Linked DNA regions of Schizosaccharomyces pombe. The main gene of each other region encodes a partner of the protein of the gene in region 2 in a complex. Each region holds a gene or a part of one and is shown on either strand. Other genes may lie near its edges.

What was found.
Region 1: atg17 (region 2) and atg1 share a complex: the UniProt entries of both Schizosaccharomyces pombe proteins name them as parts of the atg1 kinase complex.

The regions. Positions count from the first base shown.
Region 1 is NC_003421.2:849,318-854,756, forward strand, and holds atg1 (autophagy serine/threonine protein kinase Atg1), read right to left. Parts: upstream 3,366-5,439; 5' UTR 3,288-3,365; coding exon 3,186-3,287; intron 3,124-3,185; coding exon 733-3,123; 3' UTR 516-732; downstream 1-515. Other genes in the region: thg1 (tRNA guanylyltransferase), read left to right, coding at 11-115, 169-312; dolichol kinase Sec59, read right to left, coding at 5,334-5,439. UniProt on the Schizosaccharomyces pombe protein: Serine/threonine protein kinase involved in the cytoplasm to vacuole transport (Cvt) and found to be essential in autophagy, where it is required for the formation of autophagosomes.
Region 2 is NC_003424.3:1,225,393-1,230,580, forward strand, and holds atg17 (autophagy-associated protein kinase activator Atg17), read right to left. Parts: upstream 3,430-5,188; 5' UTR 3,260-3,429; coding exon 2,024-3,259; 3' UTR 1,888-2,023; downstream 1-1,887. Other genes in the region: rio1 (RIO family protein kinase), read left to right, coding at 207-333, 419-544, 647-1,887; protein-S isoprenylcysteine O-methyltransferase Mam4, read right to left, coding at 3,968-4,678. UniProt on the Schizosaccharomyces pombe protein: Autophagy-specific protein that functions in response to autophagy-inducing signals as a scaffold to recruit other ATG proteins to organize preautophagosomal structure (PAS) formation.

The DNA.
Region 1 (5,439 bases), on a different chromosome or scaffold from region 2:
TACTTTACAGGGTACCGTCAGCGCAGAAAAACATGAAATTTTGTTCTCAAAATTCGGCATCAACTATAATTTTGAACCAGAGATATACAAAAAGGGCTCGATTTGGATTCGTGAGGTATGCTCGACAAACTTTGTTTAAATTAATTTTTGCTTACTTATTTAATTTAGCCTATTGATCAAGAATGGCATCAACAAGACAAAAAGTTCTCCGTAAAACAAAAGAAGAAAATGGTTTTATCTATCCTTCACGTAAGTCTGATAGACGATGACTTTTGGACTTCAAGGCCATTTCTTGAGGTATTGTTACAATAATTTCCTTTCACACATTTGTAAATTATGGGTCGTTTGAACAAAAACATTATCACTCGTTTAATTGTTTCTCTCATGCAGTCATCAGCTCTAGGCCGTATAAAACAAATCTTTGTTTTGGAAATCAAAAAAGTACTAGATTCTTGCCTTGATACGTTAAATAGCTGTTTTACTTGTTTGAAAAATTTAAGAGAAAAAAAATAATATGCACGAAATTTGAATAGAGATAAACCTCAATAAATAAGAGTTAAATATACGGGACTATCAACCCTATGTATAAAAAAAGCAAAATTAAAAACGTCTATATTAAAAAGTTATATAAATAATATGGTCATAACAACGAATTCATAACAAAATTTAGACTCAGAGCTCAGCTCATACAATATGCGAATTTGTTCAATAAAAGGGCGAAATCGTCGGTGTTCAAGCAAGATTGGGGGCAAGTGTTATTTTCGCAACACTTTCTGTTACTTTGTTGGCTACATTAGCCTGGATTTGTTTCGATTGTAAAAGTTCTTGCCTTTTCGTTATCAAAGCAATCAAATTTCTTATGGTTACTGAATTATTGGAATCGTTAGCACCGTCTGGAGTCGAAAAATTACTCTCAAGAAGTGACTCCAACAAATGTGCTGCAAGCCGGTAATTTTGTAAACAAGCCTGTGCATCATTTCCTGACAGTTCACTAGTGGCTGCATTTCTGGATAGGTCCAATGCTCTATGATAAATTAATTGAGAAGCTGACACAGGTTTGGTAGTTGGCAAAGAATGTGCGGCACTTTGAGAAATAATAATTTCACGTAAAAATTGGGATTTCTCAAGACTTTCTGAATACCTTTGACGAAACCATTCAATGGCTTGTTGGCAATCAGGAGATGCACGTTCTTCAGAGTTGGCCCAAAAAGCAGCAACACCGTCAAACGCCACTTGTAACAGCTCAATGTCTCTCTCATAAAGTACATACGATTCCTTGGCTAACATAACCAATGAAAAAGGAGTCAAAGGTCTATCCAAGAGTGTATCTCCAGGCTTCATTTCATCAGACAAAGAAGGAATAATTTGAGCAAGCTTCACTTCAGCCAGATGGTAGACAGAGTTTGATTTCATCGCTATACTTTCTAAAACATCAAGCAATCTTTTACCGGTGTCAGGTAAGGAAGGTTGGATAATGTTGACATTGTTATCCAAATTGCTTTCTTTTGTAGGAAGGGATGTGTTTCCATTATCTGTCATACCATCCACTACAACTTCATTAAGCCTAGCGTTTGCAACATTTAGTGCTCGTTCTAGAGCGCTTTTATTTCGCGCACCACCTCCAGATTGAGGTACATGTGCTGTAGCTTGCTCAAACGCACGACGTAGTTGAGTGACTGGGGTTGAAGCAATGTAGGTAGGATTAGAAGGGAAAGCATTGGGTTTCATGTAAGGGATTTGCATCCGGCTAGTATGGGGAAACGCATGATTATTTACAGGAGCGCTTTCAGGAGAGAAACTACCTTGAAAAACACCTTCGTTTGGTGAAGGCGAGTTACCATTGATTGATTGCTCGTGGGTTAGGCTTTCATTGGAAAGTTGGGTAGAAGAGATTATGGGATGATGGTCCACTACGACATAGGCGCTACTTTTGTTCGAAGTATCACTTGTCAACTTAGCAGGAGATGCCATGGGTATAGGTTGCTTAGAGGTTAATCGAGGAGGGAAAATGCTAGCAGCAGGAGCACTTTCAGGAGGAAACACGGGGGTGTATGGTAAAGTGTTTCCATCTTGTGCATAGCGATGAGGCACCCTTCGACCGGTAATTTCAGAGGGCTGAATACTAGACCCCTGAGCTTGGAAAGCTTGACGCAACAAACCGCCTGGAGGAGCAGGAGCGCCAGGATTACTTTTTGGGAAAAAATCGGTTATGTAGGCAGGACTAGAAGATGGAATGTTTATTTCCTTAACCGCATCTTGAATATCGCTACCGGTCAAAGTAGATGCGTCATCTAATGGAGTAGTGACAACAATACTGGAAAAGAAACCGTCGTAGTCGATACGATCAGCCGGATTTTGCTTCAGCAAAGCACAGATAAGGGTTTTAATGTCCGGGTGAATGAAAGCTTCTTCAGGAAACTTGATGACATCTTTAGCTTTTTGAATCCTCCTAAGAAGTTCGACATGATTTGGGGCCTTGAAGGGAGGCTTTCCAACAGCCATTTCGTATAACACAGCACCTACTGACCACAAATCGGCTTTAGCATCATATTTCTCGTAACGAAGTATTTCGGGCGCCATATACAACGGAGAGCCACATAGAGTTTCCGCCATACTAGACGTTTGAAGGTAACGTGCAAAACCAAAGTCTGCTAATTTAAGCATTGGTAGCTTGGGACTTCCCACAAACTGGGGATGCTCTTCCAGATAGGCAGCGGTGGGTGGTGGTTGTAAAAGAAGATTTTGGGGTTTGACATCTCGATGAATTAAAGAACGCGATCGTAAAAATTGGAGTGCAGAAGCAAGTTGTTGGGTAAAATGCCGAACCAACGTCTCATTCAATCCAGCCTTGTAAACTGGCGGATGATCGATGTTGATCCAGGCTAAGGAGGGAATACTGTTAAACTTTTCTCGCTTTCGAATAAAATAACTCAAATCTCCTAGGGAGCAATACTCCATGACCAGGTGAATGAACCGCCCAGCCTTAATACAGTCTATCAGTTCCACAACATGCACATGACGGATCTCTTTAAGGATTGAAATTTCACTTTCTAAATTCTCCAAAAGTTTCTTAGTAAGCTTCTTTGTCAATACGCTTTTAATAGAGATCACTCGATTCGTTTCCTGCAACACGATTAGCCACCAAATTCCATTGAAACAGACAAGCAGTTGCTTCTTTTACTTACCGTGTGCTTTCCTTTATACACAATTGCGAAAGATCCACGTCCAATTTCCGATCGAATGACATAGGGACCAATTGTTTGATTTGTACTCGTCTGTAAGTTCATACAGCTTCTGGTTCACGATAAGACAGGTGTAAGGGTTTTAGCTGCCTTTATACTCACTTTGATAGCATGGGAGTTGGCAAGGATAGCGGGTCGCCATTGATAATATAGCTGCGTAAAAGGCACTTTCCGCACTGGGCTTTAATACCTTAAAATAAATTGCGATCGTGGTGCGGCTGTAAAAGGTAACAGGAGATATGGTTTCGGGATAACAAGTTTTATGGGAGTAAGCACTATGAATAGAATGCGAGTTTATAGAGGAAATTGTATTAACTCAATGAATTATAATATTTTACACACATATACCTGCTGGTAGTGTCTAAATTCTTTGAAATTGTTCCCTTTTTGTGCAGCTGAAAAATGCCGAAAGTGGGTTAAGACGAAATAAATGTGTTAATTTTTGCCATGTCAGTTACCGATTTGAGTACGGAAAGCAAGTGTGTGTGGAATTAGAGGATAAGAACGGAAGTAGATAATACTCCAGACGAAGCGTAGATACCCGCGAAAAGGCAAATTAGTTGGAAAAGGCGATTGTCATGGATAGAGTGATCGAGGCAGATGAAAATGCAAGTGTAAATAGAGGGTAAATTTGGATAAAAAACCGGCGGCAGATGTACAACTTGTACCACTGTACCAGTTTCATGCCATATAGAAATAATATAAAAAAAAAAAGTAAACTGGATTTAAAAGACAAAAAAAAAAGAAAAGAAGGAGCCTACAGCACCCCGGATTCCCATGTTGTCTCCAACCATAGTACTAACGAGGCCCTCAGACGCTTAACTGCAGTGATCGGACGGGAACTGGTGTTTTCGCCTAGGTATGGCCGTAGACATTTGTTGTGTTAAATAATAATATTTATGGTTGAAGAAAAGAATATCATTTTTTTTATGCAGTGTGAGTTTTGGCTCAAACGCATGTATATAATACTACAAAACAGGGAATTGGGCAATGACTAGTATTCAAACATGCCCTGAGGACTTGAAGACCATAATGGAAGGTAAGAACTCTCTTGCAGAAAATTAAAAGAAAATTTCCAATCATAATATGTTGCTTTTCTCTTTATTGATATATACGAGATTGGTTGTGGAATCCAAATTTCTAAAACAGACTTTAAAGTCAACATTAGCGAAAACGCTACTGAAAACAAGCAACGTTATAAAAAATTCACCTTCTCACCATGAATAGTTTAATTTTGTATTTGCGTGATAATAAAATAAATAAATTAATTCGAGAATATAAAATAAAAAAAGTTTTGAAACTGAATATAAGTGCTTGTTGCCAATAATACTGCAATGAAGTTTGAAACAAAAAATAAAAAAAAATAAAGTAAAAATAATAAGTTAATCAAAATTTTGATTTTGTAGCAATAAATAAATTAATGAATTTTTTTTTAATCTATTATTTTCTAGGAAATTTGGAAAATTAATAAATGGAATTAAAATGCTTATGCTCCGAGTCGTACACTGTTTAATTAATTTTAAGCAAGCAAAAATAATATACTGTTCGTTTCGAAGCAACCTATTCTACTTAAAATTGTGCCACGATATCCGCTCAGATACTCGTTGTTATACATTTCTCAATAAATGAATATTTTGATCTTCCTAAATATGCGAACTGTAATAGTCAATTACCTTTAAATATATGACTGATTGAATAGCAAAACTATATATACATATATTTTGTAATATCATTTTTACCGAAATTTATAGTCCGTTTTAGTTTTATTCGTTTCATAGTCACATCTGCCATCTTTTTTTTGCTCACGTTGGTTTTTTGTAAACAGTATTCTCAGTGGATGCTGTTGTTAAGGTGATTATGATTTAATGATAGGCCTGGCAATACGTAAAATTTTTCTTTTTATTTTATTAAAGGAAATCTATTTACGTCGAATTAGTAACAAAGAGAATATGCAAAGAATTACATCTTTGGTTTATTTTTTCATATATAAGCACATATATGTATTTTTCTTTTGTTTGTCATTTGCAAAGCATCAGAGTTATGAGATATTTTACTTTGATGTTGCAAAATATTTTATGGAATTAAACATTCTTAATCCAAGGCTTGATACAATACCCACATGTACATTGGAAGTATGAGATTGTCATTCTCCGTTGAGACACCTTCCAAAATGGCCGTACATAAGGACATAAACAGC
Region 2 (5,188 bases):
AAAAAAAAAATCATTGGTTTGCAAAAATCATCTTGTAACTTATGGTAATCATAATTTGCTAACTTCTTACATTTTTATATACCAGTTTTATTTACAACAAAAAGTTTTTACTACCACCTACAAAATACAAAAACTTGGATTTGTATCCAGTTCTTTGTCAAATTTTTAAATAAATTATTCTTTTATTGATTTATTTAAAGTTTAAGATGGTTGAGGAGTTAAAAAACGATGCACAGACAAATGAAGAAGAATCAGAATATAGCGACTTTAGTGATGGCTCTGACAATGATTACTTTAGGGAAGACGATATAGACTGGAATCAAGCTTCTTCAAGTAAGTTCATATACTGAATAGCCAAAAGCACTTTGCATGAATTTTTGTTACCATTTTTCATGATCATTAATAACATTTTTACTAGATTATTCTGCTAGACAGGAAAATTTTGGGAATAATTCTTCTAAGATCAATTCAGTTAATGATCACGTTTCTACGCTTAGTCGTTATGTGAATAATATAAAATTAAATGACAGGTTTGAGGCAGAGGGTAAGTGTAATATAGTTTAACTGCTCATAGGTTTTAGAACTCGAGGTCTTTTGATCCTTCACACTTTTACATTTTCATGTTTAATAGTACTGACAAATAAAGACAAGTCATCTATCAAGGATAAAAGTGACCGCGCTACATCTGAACAAGTGCTGGATCCCCGTACTCGAATGATTTTATTAAAATTAATAAATAATGGAACTATATCAGAAATTAATGGTTGTATAAGCACGGGAAAGGAAGCAAATGTGTATCATGCAACAAACGAGGATGGTAAACATTTTGCTATAAAAATTTATAAGACTTCAATCTTAGTATTTAAGGATCGTGACCGCTATGTTTCTGGAGAATTTCGTTTTCGTCATGGGTATAACAAGCGCAATCCCCGAAAAATGGTACGCTTATGGGCTGAAAAAGAAATAAGAAACTTGAAGCGTGTGGCTGCTGCTGGTATTCCTTGCCCAGAGCCAATCTTATTGAAGCAGCACGTTTTGCTTATGTCGTTTCTGGGGGACAAGAAAGGATGGGCATACCCCAAGTTAAAGGATATAGATATGACGCCTGGTGAGGCTACTAAATTATATCAGCTTGTAGCACGGAATATGCGTATTTTGTTTCATGTTTGTCATCTCGTGCATGCTGACTTGTCAGAATATAATTTACTTTATCATAAAGGTAAAGTTTATTTTATTGATGTATCACAATCGGTTGAACATGACCACCCGCAGAGCATCGATTTTTTAAGAATGGATATTTTAAACATTTCTACATTCTTTAGGCGTTTGAATGCTGGTTGCTTATCTTTACCTCAATTATTTAAATTCATTACTGAAGAAGGAAGTTGTGAAAAGGAAGCCATGAAAACCCGGTTAAATGCAATTTATGAGGAAGAACCTACTACAGAAGAATACGAAGAGGAATTCTTAAAAACTTATGTTCCTCGGACTTTAGATGAGGTATACGACATTGATCGAGATACTGAAATCGTAAACGCCGGAGGTGTTAATAGCCTTGTATATAAGCACTTATTAAATACAGACTTTCAAAAATTGGATTTAAATGACACTACAAAAAATCAAAACGATCAAATCCTCCCAAATGAGACTTCGGAGAGCGATGATGATGCAAATTCTATAAGTAGTATGGAAAATGAAGAAGAACGGACTTCGGATTCAAAATCATCTGCAAAACAAGGTAAAGGAAACGGACGTGCAAAGGAGACACCGGAGGAGAAGAGGGCACGGAAAAAAAAAACCAAAGAAGATAAGGCTGAGAAAAGAAAATCCAAGATTCCGAAGTATGAGAAGAAGCGCAAACTAAAACAATCTGGAAGAAAAAAGTAATCAGGGGAAAAAATTACGGTTATTTTATATAATTATCTTTATTGGAAAAGTCTATACAATACTCATAAACTAGTAGCATAACTAAAATCATTATACGTTTATAGACTTTAAAAATCGTAAAATATGGCTAACAGGGTCATCGCTTAGAGGCTGTAGTAGAAGATTTTTCACGTTGCTTCGATTTCTTATCGTTTTTATCAGGAATTACCTTTACGTTTGGCAATTCTGTATATTGGTGCTCTATAATTTCAAAATGTAAAGGAGGATCTGTTACAGCTCCCCATAGAGTCTGGGGTAAATAATCACCATATTGATTGAAAAAATCGATACGACATTTCGCCTCCGCCTGTTGTTCCTTCTCCAGGCGTCCCACAAATTCGTCCACAATGGATCTTACACAATTTTCATAGGTTTGTCGTCTGTGAATTTCCTGAAGGAGAGCGGTATACGCTTTAGCAAAATGTGTGTAATGTCTTTCAAGCTGCACGAGTTCTTGAGCTAATTGCGGAATCTCCAGGCCGGTTTGCGCCCTCATTAACTCATGCGCGGCTTCATGCCTTTGATTAGTCAACTGGTTTTTGTTTAACTCCTCAGCCAAGGCTTCCAAAATCGATGTTGCCGAATCTACCTTTGACTTATAACTTTGAACTGCGTTGAAATAATGAATTGTTTGATCTAATCCACTCCTAAGTTCTGTCAATACCGAAGGAACATGATTAGAGTCTGATTGAAGCACTTCTTGGAGATCTTTCTTCTCCGCATCAGAAAGGGTGTCATAAATATTGAGAGCTTCGGAGCATTGATCGTAATGTTGAGCAACTTGCAAAAGCAAATCCGCAAGTTCTTCGGCAGTATCGTTATAAGCGGGAGGTAAGAAGTCTAATGAAACAGCTTCTAAACGTTTATGATAATTGGCACACAAATCTTCTTCCAGTAAACCCGCTAGCTTTTCGAAAGCATTCCAAACACCATCAGTTACGCCTCGGAGCCTGGTTTTCAAATCTTCTAATGCAGTATCATCTACAAATGCATAAAGATTGGTATATTCGCTTCCTAAGGCTGGATCTAATGTACAGTCACGAAGACGTTTAAGTGACGATTCCAATCGATCATGAAGGACGTTTAATTGATTAAATGTTGGATAATTTTGAACTAGATCTAATAACTGCTTAATAAGAGCTGTTGAAGAGTCTAAACGAGTACATTGAGATGCTGTGAGCTTCGCCAACTCTTTTAGCTGTTGATGCTGCTTTATGGAATTTCTCAAATCAGTTTTTGCATCTTCATTAAACTTATGTGCATCACCACACAGTTGCCTGGCTTGAGTAAGAGCTGCTTTGGCTTGCTGAGTCCACTGCTGCAACAATTCCATCACCGCACTCACGCGGTAAAACTGTATTCCTCTTGTATGCACTCCACTGGAAAAGAAACTATATAGATATATAAGGATAGATATATATTTATATATATATCGGCCAACAAACTTTTCAAAAGGACCTTTAATACAAAGGAATTGATTGTGAAGCAGAGTTGTATGCTTGCGGCGAAATTGAAATATAGCAAGTGAGCGCATGTAGCACATATTAATGAGAGCTTGCGAACTACAGCAAATAAATTGCACAATATTGCAGTTGTTTTTCGCTATTTTTCTTTATTTACATAAAGTTGACTGAAGCGATAATTATAATATAGTTAAAACCATAAACGAAAACTAAGAAGAAGAAATGTTTGTTAAGAGTACTATAGCTATGAATAGTAATGATTAAGCAGTAAATCTTTTCAGAATTATTGTGGTTCAAAAGTAAACAGACTATTATTTTTTAAGAGAAAATTTCAGATTAGCTGATCATATTAATGGCACTTCGATGTTTAGCGGAGCTACGAAAACATCTTTAAAATTCTGCAAGACAAAGCGCTGTTATTTGGACAATTGATATCTATTAGCCTTGAAGGAGAAAAAGGCTATAAAAATAATTTGTTATGAGATTTGTATAGTCAGACCTTTAAAAGCTGCTTTGATGATGATACAAATTATTTAAGTATGCTTTTATCAACTATTCAAATAACAATAATAGTGAACCTATGGAATTAAGGGAATTCCAGATGGGACCTTCTTTCGATATTGTTCGTAAGAATCACCAAAAAAACTAACTAAGTAAGCTTCTTCGGTAGTAATTCGCTGTGAGAAAAATTTCCAAAGAACTAGAGAAAATAGTAATGTTGAGACAAAATTTCCTAACAACATTTGAGTGCCCAAAGCCCAGATAAAAAACCCAACGTATGATGGGTGTCTAACGTAAGCATAAATCCCATCAGTGACAAGCAAATGATCTTTATTTCTTTTACTAGCTACAATGTGAGAAAAAGATTGACCGGCTTGTACCATTGCAGAGGATCGTAGATATTGTCCCAAACAAAGAAATCCCAGAGCAGATGTCTGATATACCGAAAATATAAAGTTGATTAAGAAGCTCGGAAATCTTAAGCAATTTATTACCTTAGCAAAACTTTTTCCGCCACTTAATAAGCATTCTAAAAGGCCGACTAACATCGCTAACCAGTAGGCTTTGCCATTATTCAATATGAAAGAATCCCATGATAACTGACTACCTTGAAAACGAGCAGTAATGTAAAACTCTAATAGATGAAAAAGACTCAGAAATGCAAAAAAACCTCCAATACTATATCCGTATATAATCCATACGAAAAATCCCAAACCAAAAACACAACCAAGAAAGGCGCTGGTTAAGCAAATAGATGCTACAGCTATTGACGTATGTAAATTCCCCATGATTGTATATTAAATTCAGGTATGTGAATTCAACTTTCTTTATTAAATTTATCGAGAAGAATTATTGAGTCAAAATGTCCTAACAAACTAACTCATACACATTTAGAGATGTTATAATTATTAATTATTGGAGGAAAGACACGAGAAGAAATAAAATTTATGCAAAGAGGGATATTCCTTGCTTTAGCCTGGTTTTCGAGTTATTAGGATATTTTCAAAATTTCCTGCTTAAAATTATAGTTGACACAATAGGGAAGTAAAACAAAGAAAATCATACTCATATTGTATTACTTAAGTTTTGACTTCTTTTCTTTGTATTGGCTCTAATAGTTGCTAAAAGTTGTATTATATTAATGTAGTAAACCTCGATATAACAAAGAATTCAAATACTCTGTCATTAATCAATTTGCAAGTTATGAATTATTAAAAAAGAACTCTTTCTCAGTTTTGTCTAAACATATCCGATTACAAACTGATATCAACTTGTTTTGCAAATAATGAGCCAAATAC